Tamandua tetradactyla: one gene and its partners. The main gene of each other region encodes a partner of the protein of the gene in region 3 in a complex. Links are inferred from orthologs where the notes say so. Each region holds a gene or a part of one and is shown on either strand. Other genes may lie near its edges.

What was found. Proteins that work in one complex are often made in the same cells at the same time.
Region 1: GINS4 (region 3) and MCM3 share a complex: the UniProt entries of both Homo sapiens proteins name them as parts of the CMG helicase complex. The link is inferred for Tamandua tetradactyla from reciprocal best matches to the Homo sapiens genes GINS4 and MCM3.
Region 2: the proteins of GINS4 (region 3) and GINS1 are in contact, whole or in part, in a crystal structure (PDB 2E9X), measured with the Homo sapiens proteins. The link is inferred for Tamandua tetradactyla from reciprocal best matches to the Homo sapiens genes GINS4 and GINS1. Residues at the interface, in NP_115712.1 of Homo sapiens: Met55, Glu59, Glu83, Arg84, Arg86, Tyr87, Leu89, Ser90, Leu93, Arg94, Leu97, Glu101, Phe104, Glu125, Glu126, Phe129, Glu132, Phe133, Asn136, Thr137, Tyr140, Leu141, Val144, Ala145, Leu146, His148, Met149, Pro150, Pro151, Asn152; in NP_066545.3 of Homo sapiens: Phe24, Leu29, Leu33, Met36, Tyr40, Leu69, Leu70, Arg73, Thr76, Val77, Leu80, Tyr81, Leu84, Arg88, Trp92, Glu109, Glu110, Trp113, Asn116, Tyr117, Ser120, Leu121, Tyr124, Ser127, Leu128, Gly129, Gly130, Asp131, Leu134, Ile136.

Annotation. Positions count from the first base shown.
Region 1 is NC_135331.1:110,769,585-110,777,021, forward strand, and holds the start of MCM3 (DNA replication licensing factor MCM3), read right to left. Parts: upstream 3,400-7,437; 5' UTR 3,110-3,399; coding exon 3,032-3,109; intron 1,952-3,031; coding exon 1,839-1,951; intron 1,410-1,838; coding exon 1,201-1,409; intron 835-1,200; coding exon 704-834; intron 1-703. UniProt on the Homo sapiens protein: Acts as a component of the MCM2-7 complex (MCM complex) which is the replicative helicase essential for 'once per cell cycle' DNA replication initiation and elongation in eukaryotic cells.
Region 2 is NC_135327.1:34,681,567-34,689,437, reverse strand, and holds the start of GINS1 (DNA replication complex GINS protein PSF1), read left to right. Parts: upstream 1-4,472; 5' UTR 4,473-4,596; coding exon 4,597-4,671; intron 4,672-7,770; coding exon 7,771-7,835; intron 7,836-7,871. Other genes in the region: lysophosphatidylserine lipase ABHD12, read right to left, coding at 650-840. UniProt on the Homo sapiens protein: Required for correct functioning of the GINS complex, a complex that plays an essential role in the initiation of DNA replication, and progression of DNA replication forks.
Region 3 is NC_135329.1:17,019,211-17,027,199, forward strand, and holds the start of GINS4 (DNA replication complex GINS protein SLD5), read left to right. Parts: upstream 1-4,574; 5' UTR 4,575-4,804; intron 4,805-5,458; 5' UTR 5,459-5,477; coding exon 5,478-5,570; intron 5,571-7,989. UniProt on the Homo sapiens protein: Required for correct functioning of the GINS complex, a complex that plays an essential role in the initiation of DNA replication, and progression of DNA replication forks.

The DNA.
Region 1 (7,437 bases), on a different chromosome or scaffold from region 3:
GACTAGCAATATTTTGGATACACTAGCTCACAACTAAAAATTGATGGGGGGGAGCATTCTTTGATAGGATGAGTTCAGACATGAGGTAATCTATATTAAATATTTTCTTTTGTTTAATTAAGTAAGAAGGCCTTGCATTTTCCTCAATTCAGACTGATCTAAGAAAAGAACGCTTTCCTATGCCAGCTTTCTCTCAAACTAGCAAACTGCTCCTAAAACCAACATCAAGATTAATGGGATTTCTATAACCTAAAGTGGCTGTAGAATTCAACCTTAACAAAGTGGTATATTTGTTGTGTGACAGACTATTATATATGCAGTAAAATGACATGTGCAAAGATTTTATAGTAATATTATAAGTATTTTCCTATGTTCAGTTTAAAGCATATTACAAGAGATACATAAGATTTTAATTTTTTTTAAAAGATCTATGCAGAATGAATTATTTTTCTCCCTTCTTATAACTCTTCCACAATTTCCCCAATCTTTTAAAATAAATATTTATTCTTTTTTAAAATATAAGAATTATGAATTTTCCATATTAAACTCTGGCCAATAATTAACTTTTTCTTTGGATTAATCCTTACTATTTATTCACTTCATCTACTTCTACAAGATTTCAGATGTTACCCAATTACTCGTATGCTAGCAAGCACTTCTGATTTCAACCCCCAAAGAAGCCCTATTGATTCATTCCACTCACTTTAGTGGGATAGACAGAACTGGATGGAAAGGCCACCAGGGTAGTGAGGTCAGAATAACGCCGTTCTATAGTCTTCTTGGTAGCAGGACAGTAGTGGACACTGCGGACCACTTTGGGACGAACTAGAGAGCCTAGGAAGAGAAACATGCATTTAAAATCATCCAATTAGACAATGATAGAGATGTAATATGAACACAGGCAAGCCTACAATGACTACAAATACTGGGTTCTGACTAGTTTAAGTTTTTTCGATACTACCTATCATATACTCATTTTCGCATTTATATCTAGAACATCACCATATCTATGTAAAATGTTAAGTACAACTGATTCCACCCTAATCACTATGCGCACTCTGAACTCCTCCAAATTTCACCCATAATCTCAATCATTCACCTTTCTGAAGCCACAAGCTACCCAGTTTTACTTTGCCTTTTTTGGCTTTTCCAGCCCTGTGAAGTATAGCATTCCCTCAGTCCCCACTTTAACCCACTCACATTTAGTGACAATGCCCTCTACACAGACAACACAGCTGAGGAAGCAGGAGGTGAGAGTACGGGGAGAGACATGCTTAGAGCCAAAGCTTCCCTCCAATCCTATGTAGAATTCCTCATACTGCTTGGCATAGGTAGCATCAATGGAGGCCACAAAATCCTTTAAGGCCCGCTGGAAGGCAACCAGCTCCTCAAAGGCATTGCTCAGGAGGCTGCATATGGGCAAAAAAAAGAGTAATTAGGCAGAGAGGACAGAACTCCAAAAAGGTGACCCTGGAAAAGGAATTGGACATTCTTGGACCATCAAGACCAAGTCAAGACCAAGGAGTGGAAATCCAGTTCTTACTTTCTCTTGTCATCCTACAAGACTCAGTATAATAACATTAGAACTAAGGGTCATGTTTGTTTCAACTTGTCAAAGATGTAGAAATGATACCTAGTTAAACATTGGAAGGAGATGCACATGAGAGGAAAATAGTTACCACCTACATTTGAAAGAAGAAACAACAACAATATAGGAGCAGGTGAGGCTATGAGGGCTCCTAAGTCAATCACTTTTCATCTGGGTCCTCTCCTGGGAAGGGAGACATGTTCAGACATGGGGAAGAGGGTTATCTTCCTGCGATTCCCCTGCCACTTACCGATTAGCCCTCTTCTCATTTTTCCTACGCAGGTCATTCACATTAACAATCAGCCGGTAGTGGTTGTCACTGATCAGCTCCCGAACTTTGCCCTGATAAACTCCCTGGTCTTCCTGCAAAATAGTCACCACACATCAGCACAACCACAAATGTAAAAATAAGATATTTTAAAACAAAGGTAGTTGTCATAGCGAGATAAGCAAGTCAATTTCTGAGGCAGTGCTGAACCCCAGTATCCATTCATCAATTTCTCCCATTTTCATTCCTGGCCTCAGATTCCAAAAATGCCTATTTGCAACACTATAGGAATTATAACAATTTTCTCAAGGATAACGGTCCATGCTATTATTCCTAATATCAACAACAACTTATTAAATATTTCTGTATGCTTTAGTGGGGAATTAAAATGAGCTCAAACGAAGACTAAAAGAATAAATAAAAACCTTATTAAAATGTAAAGTAAATGAACTTTTAATATATATTAAAATGCCTTTTTATCTAAAAATTACGTATATAATCAAAGTATTTCATTTCCCAATCTTGTATGTAATAATATAGAATTCTCATATCTGGACCTAAAGGAAGGCCTGAAGAAGGTGACATTTGTTTACAGATAAAGCATCAACCTTTCAACATTCTATAGTTTTACATCTTGGGTGGCATACAAAACCCCCTAATCTTCATGTTACTGGGAACTGAAAAAGAATGCGGCCAAATTAGAAAGGTCTTTTCCTCCCAGTGGTAAGACGTTGACGAACACCATGGATTCTCACCTATATTCCCTCTCCCACCCTGTCCCCCAAAAAGAGCAGGACGTAATTTCGAAAAGGCCAGGGGGACGCTGACATTTTGTTTGCACTTGAAGGAAGCCTGTCGCCATTTGCGAGACCTGACTATTACTTGTATTGGGGAGAAAGTTACCAGACGGCTCTCTAAAGATTCAACTAGAGAGAGGCAATTAGCAACTGATTTCACAGCGAGGAGTTACACGTTCGGGCGGAAGGCTCCTCAGCCGGCCGTCGGCAAAGCGAGTCAGCCAGTCAGAGTAGGGAGAACTGACCGGCCTCTCGCTGCCGGGCTCTGTCGCTGCTTCGGAAAGAGCGGCATCCCGCGCGACCATTCAGCCCGCCCGCCGTCCCCGGGGGTCCGAACACCAGGGCCTCGAGCGCCCGCACCTCCCTCACCTTCCTCACCTCATCATCCAAGAAGTCCAGGTAATCTCTCTGCGCCTCCCGCAGCTCCACATCGTCAAGCACGACAGTCCCGGCCATGCTCGCTGCCTCGGAATCGCCTACCCTAGAGCCGCGTGTAGGACCCTTGGTAGACTCCGCGGCGGCACGAAAACTTCCGAGCTTTTCCCGCCACCAAAGAGTACCTCGAGGAAGGGGCGGAGACTCTGGGTGAAATACGCACTCTAATTAGCTGCTTCCTCGTAAACCGGAACACCGAATATCCAATCGGCAGCTTTTCTTCTCCCGGCTTTCCACGCAGCGCCTCGCGGTGGCGGGAAATACGCCATCCGGGACTCTCTATATTTCTCCCCTCCCCGCCCCGCTTCCCCGCCGGGAGAGCTGGCCAATGGGATGAAGAGAGAGCCCACGGAGCCTAGTAATTGGGCAGCCGGAGAGGCGGGGTGCGCTGCATTCTGGGAGTCGTAGTTTTATCTTTCCGGATGTTCAGGAGGTTCTTTGCAGGCTGCGGTACCTTGGCTTGCCGCAGAGTGATCCAATGTAACCATGGATTTGGTCTACTCTGTGGGTCTTTCGTTGAGAATAGCCAGAAAACGGGCGGTTAAAATGCAGGAGGGTGAAAAACATAAAAGCAAATCCTTTTAAAAATGTATACAAATTAAGTATGCTAGATATGTTTCAGATGCAACATCCCTCAAGTAGTATCTGGGGCGGGAGGCGGGAAGCAGTGTGTTTTTAAGAATCTGTGAAATGGAAAATAGAATCATAGCATCTCAGAGAAATGTTATTTAGTTTATACCTGTTTTTGATCAGATTACCGATACCTGAAGTACCCCATAATCATGCTAGGCCGTCAAGAAGGGTGGAGTTGAAGAAAAACTTTCTGTATATCCTCCAGCTCCCAAGCAAAAACCTCATGTCTTATTCAACAAAATTTTGGACATAATTACTCAGTCATCTTACTTGTGAAAGGATAAATTAGAGGATAAAATTAGTAAATCACAAAAGGCTTTTTCACTTTATGAAAGATCACAAGATTCTTTTAAGTAGCTTAATTTAACAGGTAAACAAATACAAGGAGAAACAAAAACCAAGTATTTCAAGCCACTGTTAAATATCAATGGGTGATTAAGAATACCAAATCTGAGGGTAAAATTATTATAACAATTGAATGTCAAAGTTTTTTTGTTTTGTTTTGTTTTTGTTGTTCTCTCTTGTGGTTTGGTTAATTTTATTTTTCAGATATAATTTATATACAGTAGAATACACAGATCTTAAGTTTACAGCTCAATAAATGTTTACACAATGTACGTATGTATGTAACTATGACCCAGTTCACTATAAACAACATTTCCATTTCCGTTGCGCCAAAAAGTTCACAGGAAAATAAAATAACAGATTGCCCAATATAAGACACCTGGCAATTCTACAGTTAAAATTTCAACCAACTGGTTTTTAACTTACCTTTGAAAATCTCCAGGATGGTGAGCAGGTAACCACATGAACCTGAATCAAAAAAAAAAAAAAAAAAAGCCATGCCTGGCTGCTTGCTTTTTGCATCCAACAGCTTAACAGGCAAGAAGAAAAAAAAAATTTCTACAATGAGGATCTTGTTTACCATTATCTAGTAAAAGGTCATTATTATTTAAAATGTCTTTATGACTTATTCATAATTGTCATTTTATGAATATATTGAAGGCAATACAATGTTCTTCGCTCTGGAAACACAGCTTCAAAATTAACACCAGAAGAACCAAGAACCAGTCTAGTTCAAAGAAGCAAAAATATCAACTCGTTAGTGGTGGAAAGCCCAAAGGAATTGGATTCTAGAGAATAAATCTTTGATACTAAACACATTTTTCTTGAGAAGGGGGCCAAGATGGCGGCTTACCAAGGTGTGGGATTTAGTTCGTCCTCCAGAGCAGCTAATAAATAGCCAGGAACAGTACAGAACAACTGCTGGGGCCACGTCAGTGACCGGACACACAGTGTACCCCAGTCTGGACCAGCTGGACCGGCTGTGAGCACTCCAGAACCGAGAGTTCCCCAGGCCACCCAGAACCGTAAGTTCCCCAAACCGCAGTGGCTGGCGCCCCTCCCCCACATGCTACTTCCCAGAGGGGAAAGGAAAGGGACTTTGTGAGCACCAGGGGCTGAGCACAACCAAATTCCAATTGTGGAATTAATTCACAAATTCTGACTACTAAAAATAGGCCCCCAGCTCAGTTGAACCTTGAGTAAAAGCAGAGGTTGCTGGTTTTTGCCCCCGCTCAGAGGGGGCAGGGCTGACAGAAAAAGAGAAAAAAAGAATAGCTGTTTTTGGATTTGAAAGGTCTGGGCCCTGAAGGAAAGGAGGGGGCATATGGGACCTGGAGATACACAGAGCAACGTGCCAACTTAAGCTCTTGATTGGCAAACCCTAGGAATGGGGATCTTGCTCTGAAAAGGAATTTTCTCTTCCATTTTGGTGGCTGTGTGTCTATGGTTTGACTGCTCTTTGGATACAGCTGCAAGGCTTCTTGGGCTCCACTGCCCCAAGCAGAGGCAGAATTAAGCTGGTTTGAGTGTTTGTCTGGAGCCTGTACCTTCCCCAAGAGAGGGGTGGGGCCCAGCTCAGATGGAATCCCTCCCTCAAGGAATTCAGACCCCAGGGTCTGGAAAACTGAAGCGATTAAAACCGGTCTACAACCTCTCCTCTGTCTCCACCACGCCCCCAGCAGGGAGAGTCTGCTGAAGTTAAAGATACCGCAACACCTTATTCTGGTGGGACCCATAGGCAGACAAGCGCCATGTACTGGGCAGGATAGGAAAATCAGAGAGCCCAGAGACTTCATAGGAAAACCTTTCAATCTGCTGGGTCTCACCCTCAGGAAAAACTGATGAAGATGACTCTTTCCTCCTGACAGGAGGTCAGTTTGGTCTGGGAAAATCTGGCTGGGCTCTATAATACCTAAGTAGACCATAGTAAGGGGAGAAAAAAAGGCACCATACAGGCAGGGCAAGAAACAAGAGAATAAGAACTGAAAAATTCTGACAACAAAACCTAAGCTAGAGGTCCAGAATAAGCTGAACTGAATGTCAAAGAACAGATAGACAACAAAGTCATCCAGCAAGAAAATCCTAGGTAAAAAAAAAGTGAAAACAATCTCCAGAATAAATTAATTAAGGTAATTAAATGCCTAGATGCCAGCAAAAAATAACGAATCATGCTAGGAAAATTGAAGATATGGCCCAGTCAAAGAAACAAACCAACAATTCAAATGAGATACAGGAGTTGAAACAATTCAGAATGTTCAAACAGACATGGAAAACCTCATCAAAAATCAAATCAGTGAATTGAGAGAGGATATAAAGAAGGCAAGGAATGAACAAAAGGAAGAAATCGAAAATCTGGAAAAAATAAATCACAGAATTTACGGGAATGAAAGATACAGTAAGAGATAAACAAAAGCAATGGAAATCTACAATGTCAGATTTCAAGAGGCAGAAGATAGGATTAGTGAACTGGAAGATGGGACATCTAAAAATCCAACAAGCAAAAGAAAATATAGGGGAAAGAATGGAAAAATATGAGCAGGGACTCAGAGAATTGAATGACAACATGAAGCATGTGAATATATGTGTTGTGGATGTCCCAGAAGGAAAAGAGAAGGGAAAAAGAAGAGAAAAACTAATGGAGGAAATTATCACTGAAAATTTCCCAACTCTTATGAAAGACTTAAAAGTACAGATCCAAGAAGTGCAGCATACCCAAAACAGAATAGATCCAAATAGACATACTCCAAGATACTTACTAATCAAGATGTCAGATGTCAAAAAGAAAGAATCTTGAAAGCAGCAAGAGAAAAGCAATTCATTACATGCAAGGGAAACCCAATAAGGCTATGTGTAGATTTGACAGCAGTAGCCATGGAGGCAAGAAGACAGTGGGATGATACATTTAAATTACAAAAAGAGAAAAACTGCCAACCAACAATTCTATATCCAGTAAAATTGTCCTTCAAAAATGAGGGAGAAATTGAAACATTTTCAGACAAAAAATCACTGAGAGAATTTGTGACCAAGAGACCAGCTCTGCAAGAAATACTAAAGGGGGCACTAGAGACAGATATGAAAACAGAAAAGAAAGAGGTGTGGAGAAGAGTGTAGAAAGGAAGACTATGAGTAAAGGTAAGAAGAAGGAAAATTAGATATAACATATAAAATCCAAAAAGCAAAATGGTAGAAGAAAGTACTGCCCTTACAGTAATAACACTAAATGTTAATGGATTAAACTCCCCAATCAAAAGACAAAGACTGGCAGAATGTATTAAAAAATAGGACCCATCTATATGATGTCTACAGGAAATGCATCTTAGACATAAGCATAGGATAAGCATAGGTTGAAAGTGAAAGGTCGGGAAAAGATA
Region 2 (7,871 bases), on a different chromosome or scaffold from region 3:
CAACTAGCTACCCGAGGAGGAGCGTTCCTGATCGAAAAACGAAGGGACTGAGAGGGCTCTACGCGTCAAGCCGGCGAAGTAGCCAAGGGGAAGTCAGGTGGACCCCGCGCTCTAGGGTCCTCCCCAGGGATACCTCAGTCCTCCCTTGTCGGGGGCGGGGGGGTGTCGAGACTTCACGGCCGCTCCAGTCCCTCGGAAAGAACGCCGGTCCAGCAACCCTCCTCCCAGCCCAAGGGCTCCCAAGGGCTCACCTGGGAAAGGTTACGGGGTGGGGGGGATTACGAGTGCGGGGTGGGGGACGGGTGCAAAGGTCGAGAGGTACTGCAGGAGACCGGTAAAGCCCCTACTGGCAAGTAACTGGGGAGGGTGGGCTCGGTGAAGGAAGGAGGTCCGGAGAAGGCTGTGGAAAGAGGTCAATAGGGTGAGGTGGGGAAGCAGGGGGGGAGCGCTCCCGCGGGCAGATAACTGGAGAGGGGCGGGGGGTTCGAGTCCTAGCGGGCCGCCCTGCCTGCCAGGTGAGGGGGAGAAGGTCCGGAGATGGGTGTGGAGACGTGACTCAGGTAAAGTGAGGAGGCAGGTGGGTTGCGGTCCAGCGGGCAGGTAAGTGGAGAAGGGCGGGGGCTCGAGGGCCGCCCGCGGGCCGCCTCACCTGCCCAGCGCGCGCTTCATGCCCGCGTCGGCGGCGCCGCGCGGCTCCGCGGGCCCCGCTCCCGCCAGGCGCAGGTTCTGCTTCAGGCAGTAGTCGGCGTCCAGCGCCGCAGCGGCCGAGCCGGAGGACGCCGAGCCCGCGGCGGAGCAGCGCTCATGCTCCAAGGTGACAGGCTCGGTCCGCTTCCTCATCCCGCGACCGAAAGCCCGAGCCACCCAGGGCGCCCCCCGGCCCCACCGCCAGCTCCAGCCGCCACCGCCGCTCTGAGCCGCCGGCCTCACAGCCCAGCTCCAGGCCGTGGCGCCGGGATATGGGCTCCGCTGGAACCCGGCCCTCGCGCCGGCCAATCAGCGCCGGGCTCCCGCCGGCCCCGCCCTCTTCCCGCCCCCGGGCGGCGGGGAGAGCTTAGCAGCCCAGCGCCGACCCGCAGCCATCTTGGGGAAGGGCGGGCAAAGCCGCGGGCGCGCGTCACCGGCAGGGCGGGGCTGCGCCGTGGGTCCGCTGCCCTGCACCTGGCCTCAGGTCCAGCTAGGAGTCCCCGCAGAGCCCGAAGCCTGCTTCCCTAGCTACCACTTCAGCCCTGTGCCGGGTCCCCCAACATCGGGAACCAAATCTGAACACCACCCCCCACTCCCCCCGAAAGGTTAATAAATGTTAATGAGAACAGCAAATAGGTAGCTAGGTAGATAGAATGATATGGCAAAGGTGACAAGAGGTTAAAATTGGTAGAGCTGGGTTTTGGCGTGGGGGGTGTGTTGAAGCTCTCTGAGGTTTGTTTTATTTTTGCTACTGTCCTGTAAGTTTGACACTATTTCAAAATAAGTTTTTCTTCGTTTGTTTTTTACACGTTTACAAGAATAAAAAGAAAAGAGTAACAAACCACAGGGTTCCAATCATTGGCCACTTTTCTCACAGGACTTGATTTTTTAAATGTATGCTCCTTGTTAAATTTTTAAATTTGAAACATAAAGGTACAGATATTTCTTTTTTACTTTGGAGCTGAACATGCAGAAAATGAACAGTGTAAACGAATTACTTTTTAGAAATCAGTATTCGATTTTGGATTTTTATAAAGCAATTAGAACTAGCTGATGGGGTGGAGTTCAAAAATAAATTTCCACTTATGAAATCCAATTAACTACTAATTCAACCATCCTAGAAAAGAAGAAATAAGGGCAGTTTCATAAATTTAGTCTTATAGTTTTGGCTTTCTTTAGCACTGTATAGTTCATTGTGCATTATGACCCACAATCGAGAGATATATTTCTTTGTTTATTCCAAAGTAACTTTTCCAATTTTGACCTTTTTGTAAGTTTGAAAACTATTGGCATCTGGCATCTGGTAATTTAAGATCAATCAGAAATGCTTTTAGAAATAGCTTCTTACATTAGGTTTGCAATGATGCTGTGAAATTAGAAAAGAATTTCATTAACCATTTTAATAAATACCACAACCAGCATTCTTATTTGTGTGGATAGCTCCAAATACATTTTTTTAAAAAAAATTATGGACTCTAAATGGTGAATTCTTTAAAGTGATGTGGAATCACATACTGATTGGGAATTAAAATGTAAAAAATATTTGACCCTATCACTCATAAAGTCTCTTAAATTGAAAGACAAAAAAGCAAGGAGGGAGAAATGTAAGGGGAATTTAGTCTTTCTTGGTCCACACTTGCTGCCTGTGTTTTAAGCACTCAGGCTTTAAATGCCACCCCACACTGGTGACACCTACATTTATATCTCTAGATCACACCTCTTTCCTGAACTCCATGCTTCCTTATACAATGGTCTACTCATTTCTATTCTGATGTCCTTCAGGCACCTAAATTTACTACTCAGTTGAAAACTGGGATCCCCAATTCCACAACTTTCCCCACCTTGGATGGGCAGCTTCACCCTTGCAGTTCATCAGGCCAAAGCACCAGGGTCATCCTTGATGCCTCTTTTCCTAGGCCACAGGTTTTCTATCAGCAAGACTAGACAGCACTCCCTTCAAAGTGTATAGCAGACCCAAAGCTTTCTCACTACCTCCACCATCACCACCCTGGGCCAAGCTGTCATCACTTAACCTTTCATCTGGATTATTTTAATAGCTTCTCTGCCTCCGTGTTTGCCCTGTTTCGCCAATTCAGACACACAAACATCTTTTTTTAAAAAACCTTTTTTTAAACCTAGATCAGATCCTGTCACTTGTTTGCTCAAAACCCTTCAATAGCTCCCCATCTCACTCAAAATAAAACCAAAAGAAGTAGCCTACTGGGCCCTATCTGTTCTGGCCTCCAGCCCCTCCCTTATCTAAGCCACCAGTCTCCCCTCTTGGCCTACTTCAGCACTTGGCTTCCTGCTGTTCCTTGCACATCCCTCCTCAGGGCCTTTGCACTTGGATTGCTCCATATTGCTTCCTGCTGTTCCTCGCACATCCCTCCACAGGGCCTTTGCACTTGCATTGCTCCATATCTACATGGGTTACTCTCTACAGCCCTCGGGTCTTCTCCCAACACTTAGACTCAAAACCCTCAGACCCTCACACCATCACTGTTTACCTCCCTGGCTTATTATTATTCACACTTGTCATCAATATATATCATCAATAAATACTGGGCAAGGGCTTTGTTCACTGCTTTCAGTGTCTAGAAAAAATGGCACTTCCTAAATATTGGCTGAAGGAATGACTTAGTCATTAGAATCCCCCAAGGAGGGGGTTCTATCCCCATTTTACAAATAAGGAAGCAAGTCTTGGGGAAGTTCAGGGACTTTGCCTAAAGGCACAAATTAAGAAATTTATGGCAGAGGAGGAACGTGGAAAGTGGTGTTCGGACCACAGTCCTGCATTACATCCATGGTAGAATGTGGATGATAACACTTGGCTAAAGTATTCCTTACTGTAGGGCTGAGAAGGAAAAGCCAGTCCACATAAGGATAAAATTCAGAGGATTTGTCTTTAATCTGGCCATTTTTCAGTCGTATATCAAGTGTCTATAGTTGCAAAAGAGCAGTGGAATTTCTAGGGTTGGCTAGAAGTAATACTGCTTTTAAAAAAAAAAGCAGCGTAGTTAGTATACATTGTTTCTATAGCAGTGATTCCCTGTTGATTCTACATGGTTAAGAAACTTTCCATAGGTCATCTAGAAGAGAAAATGCTTTGTGGATTCGTGTAATTCTAGGGCACTTTTTCTCCCTCTAGAGACCTTGTGACAAGGACTGATTTACAAACAACTTTACTTGATTGCTTAAAAATAAAAAAAGTGCTACTGTTTTTATTTGGTTTGATAGTGGAAAGCTTAAAGTCAGTGTGACCCTGGGCAAGTTACCTAACTACTCTGCTTCTTAATAGCCTTAATAATCACCTTTAGGGATAATTATGAGAAATAAACTAAATAAATTTCAGTTCGTCGCACACATGAGGTTCTCAATGAAAGCTGGTTTCCCTTGACTATCAAACAAAAAACTCATGCTGTAAAAGTACACAAATGAAACGCTGCGTCACAGTATTAATGCAAGTTCTGAACCTTTCTTCTTCGTCCCAAAGGTCTAAACCTAAATGAAAATGAATGAGTCAAACGGCAAAAGGCGGAAAAGGGAAGGATGCGCGTTCCTCCAGCCCGAGCCGTGCTGCGAGAAGTTCTGTCTTTCCGAGCTCGTGGCGACCCGGAGCTTGCAGCGTAGAGGCCTCACCCCTCCCAGTGCACTGTCCTTTGGGGGCTGGCCCGCCAGCTCTGCTCCTCTTCAAGTGCAGATGCGCGGCGGAGGTAAATGTCCCTCTTCGGCCACCGTAGCCCGCGGACTAGCAGTGCTTTTCCATTGGTTGGTGTGTTTGGCGCCAAAAGGAGAAACGGAGTGGGAAGCCAGGGGCATAAGCTGAGGGAGAGATTGCAGCGCAGCGGTCGAGAGTCCGACGACTGTCTGGCGTGAGAGCGTTGTTGAAGAGGCTGGGGTGCGTCCGCCATGTTCTGCGAAAAAGCCATGGAGCTGGTCCGCGAGCTGTACCGGGCGTCCGAAGGGCAGTTGCCAGCGTTCAACGTGAGCTGGGCGGCCGGGAGGAGGTGACGGGGAGGGACGGGGAGGGGGCGGGGCTGAGGCAGAGGGGCGGGGCGGCTTCCTCGGGGTCCTCTCCTGCGTCTCCCTTACGAATTTTACTTTACCCCTGTACTAGCTCCAAAGTCGGGAAGAGAAATTTGGGACAAAGCAGGAAAAAACGCGGGAGGGAAAAAAAAAACATTCATGCTTATACTTCCAGCGATGTGATGAATCTGTCATATGAACATATTTCCTTTAGTGTTTTTCTAAGCTTAGCTGTATTGTCTGATAGTCTAGCATTTTTCCGGAATCGGACTGCGAAGTGTGGTGATTAAAAGCTAGGCCTCTGGATTAGGCTGGGATTTTTGGTTCCGTTGTGTGGTTTAGGCACTGTTACTCAAGCTTTCTGTGCTCGAAGTTTTCTTAGCACAGAAATAGGATGATGAGGATAATCCTAGCGCCCAGCCCCCGGGGAGGGAGGATTCGCAGTTTGTGTGTGATGCGCTCTGAACAATGCTTGGCAAACGGTAGGGGCCGTTTGCTACTAATTTTATTTCTATTTCTACTCCTGCTATTAGGATTATTCTTACTTCTCTGTTAACTACTACTGTGTGCCTCACAGGGAGTTAAGCACTCGACTTCTGTTATCCTTATTCTCATGATAAACCTTTGAGATATAAACTGTTGTTTTTTTTTTTCTCCAGGTATATAAAAGGAGGCTTGGGGAGTTGAAGTAACTTGCACTGGTGAGGTAGCCAGGAAGGAGTAAACTTAGGATTTGAACCCTGGCAGCCTGGCTCCAGAGCCTAATTCTGAATCCTATGCTAGACTGTTTCCACTGTCTTAGCACAGTGACCTGTAGATGCCAGGGCACATTCTACTGAGAGAGGGATATGAAAACAGGTAAACAATGCGGTGTGGTAAGTGATAACTTCGAGGTGTAGACAAGGAGCACAAAGGAGAAATGCCAGTGTGAGGTGAGGTCCAGGAGGGGCATTGGAGTCATGTCTGGAAGGATGAGTTCACCACTCCCAGCCAAAGGGCACTGTAGTGCAAAGACACATGATCACAGCTAGGAAAGGTGCCTGAGAGAGGGTATGTGGGGGACAACACAGGTTAGCTCAGAGGAGTCCAGTCATATGCACAGAGTAAGGAGTAGAGGGTTTTAGGCAGGGCTGTGATGGGGTCATTTTTGTGTTTTGAAGTAACTATAGCTGCAGTGTGAAGAGTGGATTGGAAAGAAAGAATAAAGGCAGAGCAATGGATTAGTAGGCTGTTATAGTATACCAGGTGGAAAACATGCATGGTGTGAACTGTGTCAGGGCCATGAGCACTAGAGTGGGTTATGGAGACTTGGAACAAATAGGATTTGTAACTCTTAGGATGAGGTAGAGATGGGGTGGGTGATGCATGGGCAGGGAAATCAGGGAGGTTTCTTTTAGCATACAAGGCCATCAGTCAACATAGGTAGAGATCATGAGAAAGAGTGTTTGGGAAAGGTGATGAATTTAAGTTTGAACGTTAAAGATCACCTACTGTGACAAGTCATTTTACGGATGAGAAGACTGAGCCAAGAGAAATTATGAATTCAGGGATGTGTCTATTCTTCCAGCATATTGGAGGCAGTCTCAATTTGAATACTGGATTCTGTTCTTTCAACTTCAGAAGAGCTACATAATTTAAAAAGTTAGGTGAGGGTGGTACAGTGGTGGCTCAGCAGCAGAATTCTCGCCTGCCATGCCAAAGACCCAGGTTCAATTCCCAGTGTCTGCCCATGTAAAAAAAAAAAAATGTTAGGTGACATCAGGGGAAAGTTCAGAAGAGAGGTGTGCTGGGTATGGGAGCTCTAAGATATGGCTCCACAATGGGGTCAAAGATCTAGGATCCTGGGAGGAAACAGGCCAAGGGGACAGAGTGACTTGTCCAAACAGGCAGTGGCCAACCTGGCTTTGGACCCGGCCCTGGAGACCTTGAGCCCAGCATCTTTTCACTCCAAAAGCATTTTAAGATGTCTGTTGGTTTACCACTAAGACCTTGGGGGCCAAGGTCTTAGGAACTGTGAAAGCAGTCCTTTTAGATGTTACTGGGAATGCCTTTTGTATCCTTTGTCTTGTTAGTGCCTTCCTGGACAACCTACCTGGTAGTCAGTGTGACTCAGCAGATCCAGGATTGACCTGAGGGCCAACAAGGGTTTCAGGAATCCTGGCCCCAAGGAAGTGATAGCTGGGAGGGCTCCTCTGCCTTGTTCATTCCAGGATTGCACAGGGTGAGGGCTGTGTTCAGCAAGTTAAAACCATTATCCTCTTTCTATGTCCAGAACTGTGGTGATTGAGTTTCTAGGAAAATGATCTTGGGCACCCAGGGGCAGCACAGAACAGATGTAATTCCCACTAAAGATAAAAATTCAAACCTGAAAGTGTTTGTATTTTATGAAATTATTTCTCACTTGGATTTTATATACCTGCAGATCTCTTAATTGTACAAGAATTTTCAATTTCAAGTAGTACTTGCTGTATTAAGGAGAATGTTTAACTGAAAACAGATAAATCAGACTTTTTCATAATTTTTTCTTTACCAGCTGATGAAAGTGAAGGTGGAAGCATGCTTATATTTTCCACAAAGAATTGTCTTTTTTTGTATTTGAGCAAGGTTTATATAGTTGGTTTTGTAATTATATCAGTAATACCAAAGCATTTTTGGCTAACACAGGTATTTTGGCTCTAAAAGTAAATTAGGAAAAATAGACAGGTTACTTTTCTTTGGATTGTTGACAAACCTATTATATAACATTTATGAATTTTAGGATGCTTATGCTTTATCCTTCTAAGGTAAATGTAAAAAAAGAAATTGCCCCAAGGTAAATATTAGGAAAACCTTTGTTCTGTTCTTGCAGTGCAAACCAATACACTGTGCCTTTTAAGACCATCTTTTTAGTAAATAATAAATTATTTACATATTTTTGTCATACCTGATTGCTTCTGCAGGACTATTGATTTTTGATTAGCTATATAAATCAAAGATAAATGTAATATAGACAGAATATTCCACAGAATTGGTGGGGGAATTAATGAATGTGTATCAATATCAGTTTATGTATTCTAGGAGGATGGACTCAGGCAAGTTCTGGAGGAGATGAAAGCTTTATATGAACAAAACCAGTCTGATGTGTAAGTTTTAAGACAATTGCTATTTTAAAACAGTTT
Region 3 (7,989 bases):
TAGTCTAAAATAGGATGACCCATTCCATTAGTTATATGAAATTCTCAAAATAGTGTCCATGTAATACTTTTAAAGACACTAAAATTAATAAAGGTGGAAAAATAAATTTTGTTACAGGGTACATTCTTGAGCAAGGCTACACTTTCGTGCTTGAAAAAATTCAAAACTTTTCCTATGACTACATTTTAGAAAAGAGCATTACCCTAAGCTGTAAGCATTTAGAAATACTGAGTTTGGTCAGGTTTATCTTTGGAACTAAGGACAATTCTCCAAAATAAAGTGTATGGACTCTAATAAGCATGAAGACATGCCGGCACTTAGACAAATGAGCCTTTTACGGCCATGACGTAAAGGCAAATGAATTTCTTGATGGAAATGTCACATTTCTCTTTGACCCCAATCCAGAAACTTAGAAAAGATTATTTTACTCAATCTGCTAACTATGTTGGCAACAGTATATCGATGATAAAATAAAAGAGAGAGAAAATTCATGATCATTGTATATTCTGCAAGGAGCAAATGACAGTATAGTTTTTTGTATTGCTTCCTCACAGGGTGTCACGTTAGCTGTCTTGGGACTTATTCATTCTTTTAGCAAACTATGATCAATGTCACCTCCTCAGGGAAAGCTGCCCCAAACATCTTTAGAACCATATTCTAAAATGTCCCCATCCTCAACATTCTCTATCATTTACTGGATTTGTTTTTCTACATCGCGTTTTACCTCCATTTGACAAACAATTGTTATTTGTTTATTGTCTGTCTTCCATCCCAGGGTGTGTGTTTCCCATTCACTGCTTTATCCTTAGCTCCAACACAATGTCTGGCAAAGCAGATCCTCAAAAGCATTTGTTGAATGAAGAAATGAATGAATGAATGAATGAAAGAATGATGAGCACTCCGCAAGTTTGGGGGTTACCTTCAGGGAATTCACAGTCTAATGTGAGAAAGACATGTTAAAATTGCAATAGAGCATAATAAATGTTTTATCAGAATCTTATAAGGTATAATGGTGACCAAAGGTGGGGGAAGATGTGTTAGGGATGGTTTTCGGAGGAAGAGATACTTTAAATGGGTCTTAAAGGATGAATAAGAGTGCACTGGGTAGATAAATGGAAAGAAAAAAATTCAGAAGGAGGAAACAACAGGTATAAAGAAAGGAGGCAAAATACCTCATATCTTTAAGTAGTTCAACATGACTGAAGCAAAGAGAATGCAAGGGAAAAAAAGAGAGAGAGAGTGCAAGGATGGAAGTCCCAAACTAAAAGAAAATTAACAGCACTAACTTCTCAGCAAGAGGACTAAAACCATACCAGCACCTCAGTATCCTCCCTACTTCTCGCAAGAATATTGTGCCAATGTGAAACTATTTTGTATCCAAGTTCCAATACTGATCCAATCTTGTGGGGCCAGACCTACCGTTTACGGTATGATCTGTTGCTTTGATTACTTCCATAGACATGTGACACACCCAATTGTGGGTGTAGCTTTTTGACTAGATGGAGATGTGACTCCACCCATTCAAGCTGGGTCTTGATTAGTTTACGAGAGCCCTTTAAAAGGGGAAACATTTTGGAGAAAGCTCAGATACAGATGCTTGGAGAAGAGGTGCTTCAGAGCTGACAGAAACACGGATGTTTGGAGATCCTTGGAGTGCCGACAGCGAGAGCAGATGCTGAGACATGGGCAGAGCCCAGCAGATGTCATCATGTGCCTTCAAGAGGTGCCAAGCAAGCCAGAACCTAGAAAGAGTCACGGGAAGCCAAAAGATGAAACCTAGCCCCAGAGAAGCCAAGTGAGGAAACCCACAGGAACAGTCGGAAAGCAAAAGAGCCCAGGAGCAAGGCATCAGCAGATGTCAGCACGTGACTTCCCAGCTCACAGCTGTTCTGGACAGCATTAGCCTTTCTCGAGTGAAGGTAACCGCTTGTTGATGCCTTAATTTGGATATTTTCATTGCCTTAGAATTGTAAACTTGTAACATAATAAATTCTCTTTATTTCTTTTCTGGTATATTGCATTCTGGCAGCTTTCACAAACCAATACAAATATGTACTCTATCCTCCAGCAGAATTCTTTGGAACTAATCAGAATTAAAGAAGCAGAGGCCAGACTCTAGCTCCCTAATAGAAGAGCAGGAGGAGATTAGAAAAGTCAGGTTAGCACTAGAGAAGGAAGTCCCTAAATCAGTAAACTATTGGTACTTCCGTGTAGAAGTTATCTGTGCCAGAGTAAATATGAGAATACTTGGCCTCAAATCTATAACACTTAAAGAATATTAATAAAAAAACACTGAATAACTATGTGGTAATGATAATTATGGAAGAATGGAATTGTGCACAGTAATCTAATGCTGCAAAACAAACCACCCCAACATTTAATGCAAATATTTGTTTTTACTCACAAATCAGTAGTCTGGGCAGGGTTCGGCAGGGACAGCTCATCTCTGCTTCTCTCCATGTTAGCCCTGGTAGCTCTAGGTCTGAGAACCATCTGAAAGCTCATTCACTGAGACAACCGGGGAATGGAAACACTGGGGCTGCTGAGCTCTTCTCTGTCTCGCTGTGGCCTCTCTACATGCTCTTTCCAGCATGGGAGCTTCAGGGTAGCCAGACTTCTCACATGTCAGCTCACGGCTCTCAAGGGACATGGTTCAAGAAAAGGAGAGCAGGGTGGAAGTTGTATCACCCTTATGAGAGTGCCTTAGTACTCAAGCAGTATCACTCCTGCCACATTCTCTTGGTCAAGGCAATTACAAAGGTCTTCCCAGATATAAGAGGAAAAAAAGATGGACTTCACCTTCTAATGGAGGAGTGTCAACATCACATTGTAAGAGGACCACATGGGATGAGATATATCTTAGGGCAGCTCTCTATGGAAAATGCAATCTGACACAACTAAAACGTGCTGGATTACCAAAGTAGAGTTTAAACGAACCTTGAAAAGTCTATTTGTCATTAACAAAACTCGTTCTTCAAGATGTGGCCCAAATACCCCTTTCTTTTGGGAATTTCCCTTGGTAAATATGCCCACTCTTTCACTTGGAATATTCTATGTAATTATTGTTTATAAAAGGACTGTAATCAGGTGGGTTCTAGCAACCTGTCAATTGGTCAACTTTTTTCCCTAATAAATCAGTATGGCACATGAATCATCACAAAGAAAAGAAGCTTCAGACTGATGGGGAAGAAATATTTATAGAGAATCCAGAGTGATACTTTACACAGAAAACAAAGGAGAGCATCAGCAATTCAGAGACCAAAAAGCTGACATCTCACAAAGAAAAAATACCTATATCGATATCCTTATGTCCTTGTTGTTCCCCCTGCAGTAAGAGCAGAAATTATAAGCAGCCTAAGTCAAAATAACCTAGAGAATTAAGCAAACACCTGATGTAGTAGCAAGGCTGGAAGCAAATTGCCTAAAGCAGTGGTTCTCAAACTTCACCTGCATCATGATCACCTGAAGAGTTTGTTAAAATAGTGTGTTGTGTCCTATTCCCAGAGCTTCTGATTGAGTAGGTCTGGGTGGGCTTGAGAACTTGTATTTCTAGTAAATTCCCAGAATACGTTGTTGCTTGAAGTGTGGGAACACACTTTGGGAACCAGTAGTCTAAAGGTTTTTAGAGGAGCTGGGGTTAAGAGGGGCCAGCCTCTCCAGAACATCAACTAGTTCCATCCCCCTACCCCATATTATTGACAGCCCTTTCCAACATTTAAAAGTTAGCATGGGCACAGTCTAAATACCCCTGAAAACAGGGAGAAAGATCAAAGGTGATGGTGGAGTTATACAGAGAAGATAGGATTTAGCAAATGAGTATGACTGTGGAGTCATTATATTGATATTTCTTTTAGTTTCCAGTGTCTCGGAGTAGCTAGAAAGAAAAACCTAAAATTGTGGAACTATAAACCATACCAAACTCTGAAATCTGTTTTATATCTAATTGTGGCAGTGTGTTTTGAGATTTATTGCTTTTTTGTACATATGTTATTTTTCACACACACACAAAATTTTTCTCATAAAAAAAAAAGGAGAGGGCAGTGCGACAGTGGCTCAGTGGCAGAATTCTCACCTGCCATGCCGGAGACGCGGGCTCGATTCCCGGCGCCTGCCCATGCCAAAAAAAAAAAAAAAAAAAAGAAGAAGAACTGGGATTAATGGTCGTAGCTGAAGCCCTACAAGAGAGGTCAGTGGAAAAGATGAAACAAGAGGCTATGGCCTAAAACTAGCACAACACACTTCTCCATCGGACCCACTGCTGGTCCAAGGTATATGCAGACGCTTGCTCCCTGGTGGCCCGAAGGCAGACAGCGCCGCATCTCGGAAGAGCGGTGGCAAGGCGCCCCCTCCCGACAGCCCTCGTACTGTACCGCAGGAACCGCACACGGAACAGCAGCCCAGGTGGGCGGAGCTAACGCCGAACCAGCCTCCCATCGCCCTTATTCGGAGTGGGAAGATTCTGAGAGTGAACTGCGCATACGCAAGACCCGCCCCTTTATATTGGGCGGGGTCAAGAACGCTGCCTGTCCCTTCTCCCGAACTCTGATTGGTTTAGCGCCTTCCGTACGCGGTGACGTTGTACCTGCCCGGAGTGTTTTCGAGACGTGCGCGGGAGCCGAAAACCCGGGAGAGTTGCTACGTCCCGGAAAGGCCTCGTGCGCGTTGCTCAGCTGTGGTTCCGTTCCCAGATTCTGTGTGGAAGAACCTGGGCTGCCTCCCCGCGATTTCCCGTTCTGACCGCTCGCTACTTTGGAGTGCCTATCTGCCGCCCAGTCCGCGACTGCGTGTCCGAGTGGGCCCTGAGGTACTGCGCGAGCTGCGTGCGTAGGGGGAAGTGCTGCTCTGGGTTCTCCGCAGCGAGAGGGGCGGGACGGGAGGAGTAGGCCCTCAGTTTCCCTGAGAATCCCCGCGGCTCCCCCCCCGCCGCGCACCACACAGCTTTCTCAAGCCTTTGGGGTCAGTGACTGGTCGGCGCCCCTGGGCCTGGCGAAAATCGAGCATTGATTTATTCCCCAACGATTTTAAGTACTTGCCATGAACTAAACTCCGTACCTGCACGCGTTGTTGTCTCCCACAACTTATAAGTGCCAGGCAGTGAGCACAAGCGCAGTTCATATTTGACCTGAGGTAAGCACAGCCCTTGATGACAAGGAGATCTATCGGGAAGACCAAACAAAACAATAATTATTTTATGGTGTGATAGGTGCTCAGTTCCAGGTATACACAGCGGGAACAGATACGAGGGGCTACCTCTTTGAGAAACTTATTCTCTGACCTAAGCTTTGAAGGAAGAGGCAAAGAATTGAAAAATCCAAGTCTGTGAATTCTCTAGCCACTACTGTTGAATCTCTGCAATCCCTTGTAACCCTTTCCCTTCTCCAGATACAGTTGCACTGTATGGTAAATAAATGGAAAACACATTGCGCACACAATGTGTTGGTTCGTTTATGTTCGTTAGGTTCCTGGTTTCAGTGAAAATGACAGAGGAACTGGATCTCATGGGACAGGATTCTGATGGTAGTGAGGAAGTCGTCCTAACTCCTGCAGAACTCATTGAAAGGCTGGAGCAGGTAAGCATTCCAAATAAAATCCCCTTGCTTCAATCTTAGCCTTTTTAGTTAGTCTAACTATACTAATTACAGACTTAGAAAGTAAAGAAATAGAATTCAAGACTTACTTTATTTCAGAAGAATAAAAGCTGGATCTTACCTCTACACAGAAATAGAGGAATATCCTCTATTAGAAATCCCATAATGTCAAATGCAGAGTTATCCAGTGGAGTCAGTAAGGGACAGCTTTGGGCACATTTAATAGAACAGTGCAGAGAACAAGAATGTATTTCATATTTTGGGAGGACTGCAGACATGTTGTGGTAGAGACTTGTAGGCTCCCCTATCTTAATCCTTTGAAGCATTTACTGGATTAGCAAGAAAGTGTCAAAACACCTTTTTTTAAGAAGGAAACTGGTCTTACTCTTCATTTTCATTCGAAGTATCTTCTTGAGTCAACTGTTCTCTTTATTTACACTAAATTGTCTAAAAGTCTGTTTCAATTTGCTAAAGCTGCCTGAGTGCAATATACCAGAAATGGATTGGCTTTTATAAAAGGGATTTATTAAGTTACAAGTTACAATTCTAAGGCTATGAAAATATCCAAATTAAGACACCAATAAGAGGATACCTTCACACAAGAAAGGTCAATCAAGTCTGGGATTTCTCTGTCACATGGGAAGGCACATGGCAATGTCCTTCTCTTTGGGCTTCTGGTTTCAAACAGCTCTCTCACCATCTCCCAGCATCTGTAGTTGAGCTTTCTCCAAAATGTTCTCTTAAAGGACTCTAGTAAGCTAATTAAAAACCCACCTTATGGGGGTCACATCTCCATGGAAATAATCTAACCAAAAGATCCTGCCCATAATAAGTCTGCACCCACAAGATTAGATTAAAGGAGCATGGCTTTTATGGAGTACGCAACAGTTCCAAACCAGCACAAAGTCCTAAAGTAATTTCTAGACTATCGTTTTAGTCATAATTGTGGTTTGTTGGGTACATCCTGTGTTCTTTCTAGGAATTGCATTATGTTCTTTACAATTCATCAGGCAGGCATTTTTAGAGTTCAGGGTCTGGATTTAAATACCTCTATGTCTTTGACCTATTATTTAACCTTAAACAAGTTATATAGCTTGTCTCAAGCCTTTCCTTGACTGTAAAATGGATGTAATAATAGCAGCTACTTCACGTAGTTAGGAAGATTAAATAAGATAAAGTAAATGAGATATGTAAAGTGCCTAGCTTGTTGTCTGGCTATAATAAGCACTCATTAAACGTTAGCTATTAGTAGTAATAACCCTCAAAACAACCCTGTCAGGCAGGTATTACTGTTACCCCATTTTAAAGTTGAGGAAACTAAAGCTTAGAGATGTAAAGTAACCTGCCTAAGGTCACACAGCTGGCAGCCGAGCCAAGATAGGAGCTCAGGTCTCTTTGACTCCAAAACATGGTGTTAAGCCATTATACCTATTGCCTTATTCCCTCTTTTCTTCTCCCTTTAACTGCCCTTTTCCAGAGCTCTTTCGTGTTTGTTACTTTAGTATTCTTCATTCTTTGCTGCTGTGTTAGTTTGTAAGCTACCAGAATGCAATATACCAGAAACGGGACAGCTTTTAAAAGGGGGAATTTTTTTTATTAAGTTGCAGGTTTACAGTTCTGAGGCCGTGAAAATGCTCAAATTAAGGCATCCCGAGAAAGATACCGTTCAAGTTTACAAGCTGCCAGAATGCGATATACCAGAAACAAAACAGTTTTTAAAAAGGGGAATTTATTAAGTTGCAAGTTAGCAGTTCTAAGGCAGTGGAAATGTCCAAATTAAGGCAAGTCTGTGTAAATGTCCAATCTAAGGCATCCAGAGAAAGACACCTTGGTTCAAGAATGCTGATGATGTTCAGGGTTTCTCTCTCAGTTGGAAAGGCACATGGAAAAACATGGTGACATCTGCTAACTTTCTCTCCAGGTTTTTTGTTTCATGAAGCTCCCCCAGGGGCATTTTTCTTCGTCTCCAAAAGTCTCTAGGTATGTGGGCTCTAATGCTTTTCCCAAAATGTTTCCCTCTTAAATGGCTCCAATAAGCAACCCCACCTTGAATGGGTGGGAACACAGTCCATGGAAACCATCTAATCAGAAGTTACCACCCACAGTTGGGTGGGTGATATTGCCATGGAAACGATCAAAAAGCTCCCACCTGGCAATATTGAATGAGGATTAAAGAACTTGGCTTTTCTGGGGTACACAGCAGATTCAGAGTGGCACAGATAACTTGATGATGTTCTGGGTTTTTCTCTCAGCTGGGGAAGCACATGGCAATGTCTACTAGCTTTCTCTCCAGGCTTCTTCAACAGCTTCCCCAGGGATGTTTTCTTCATGCATCTCCAGAGGTCTCTGAGTGTGGGCTCTGGTGGCTCTTTCCAAAATGGTTCCCTCTTAAAGGGCTCTA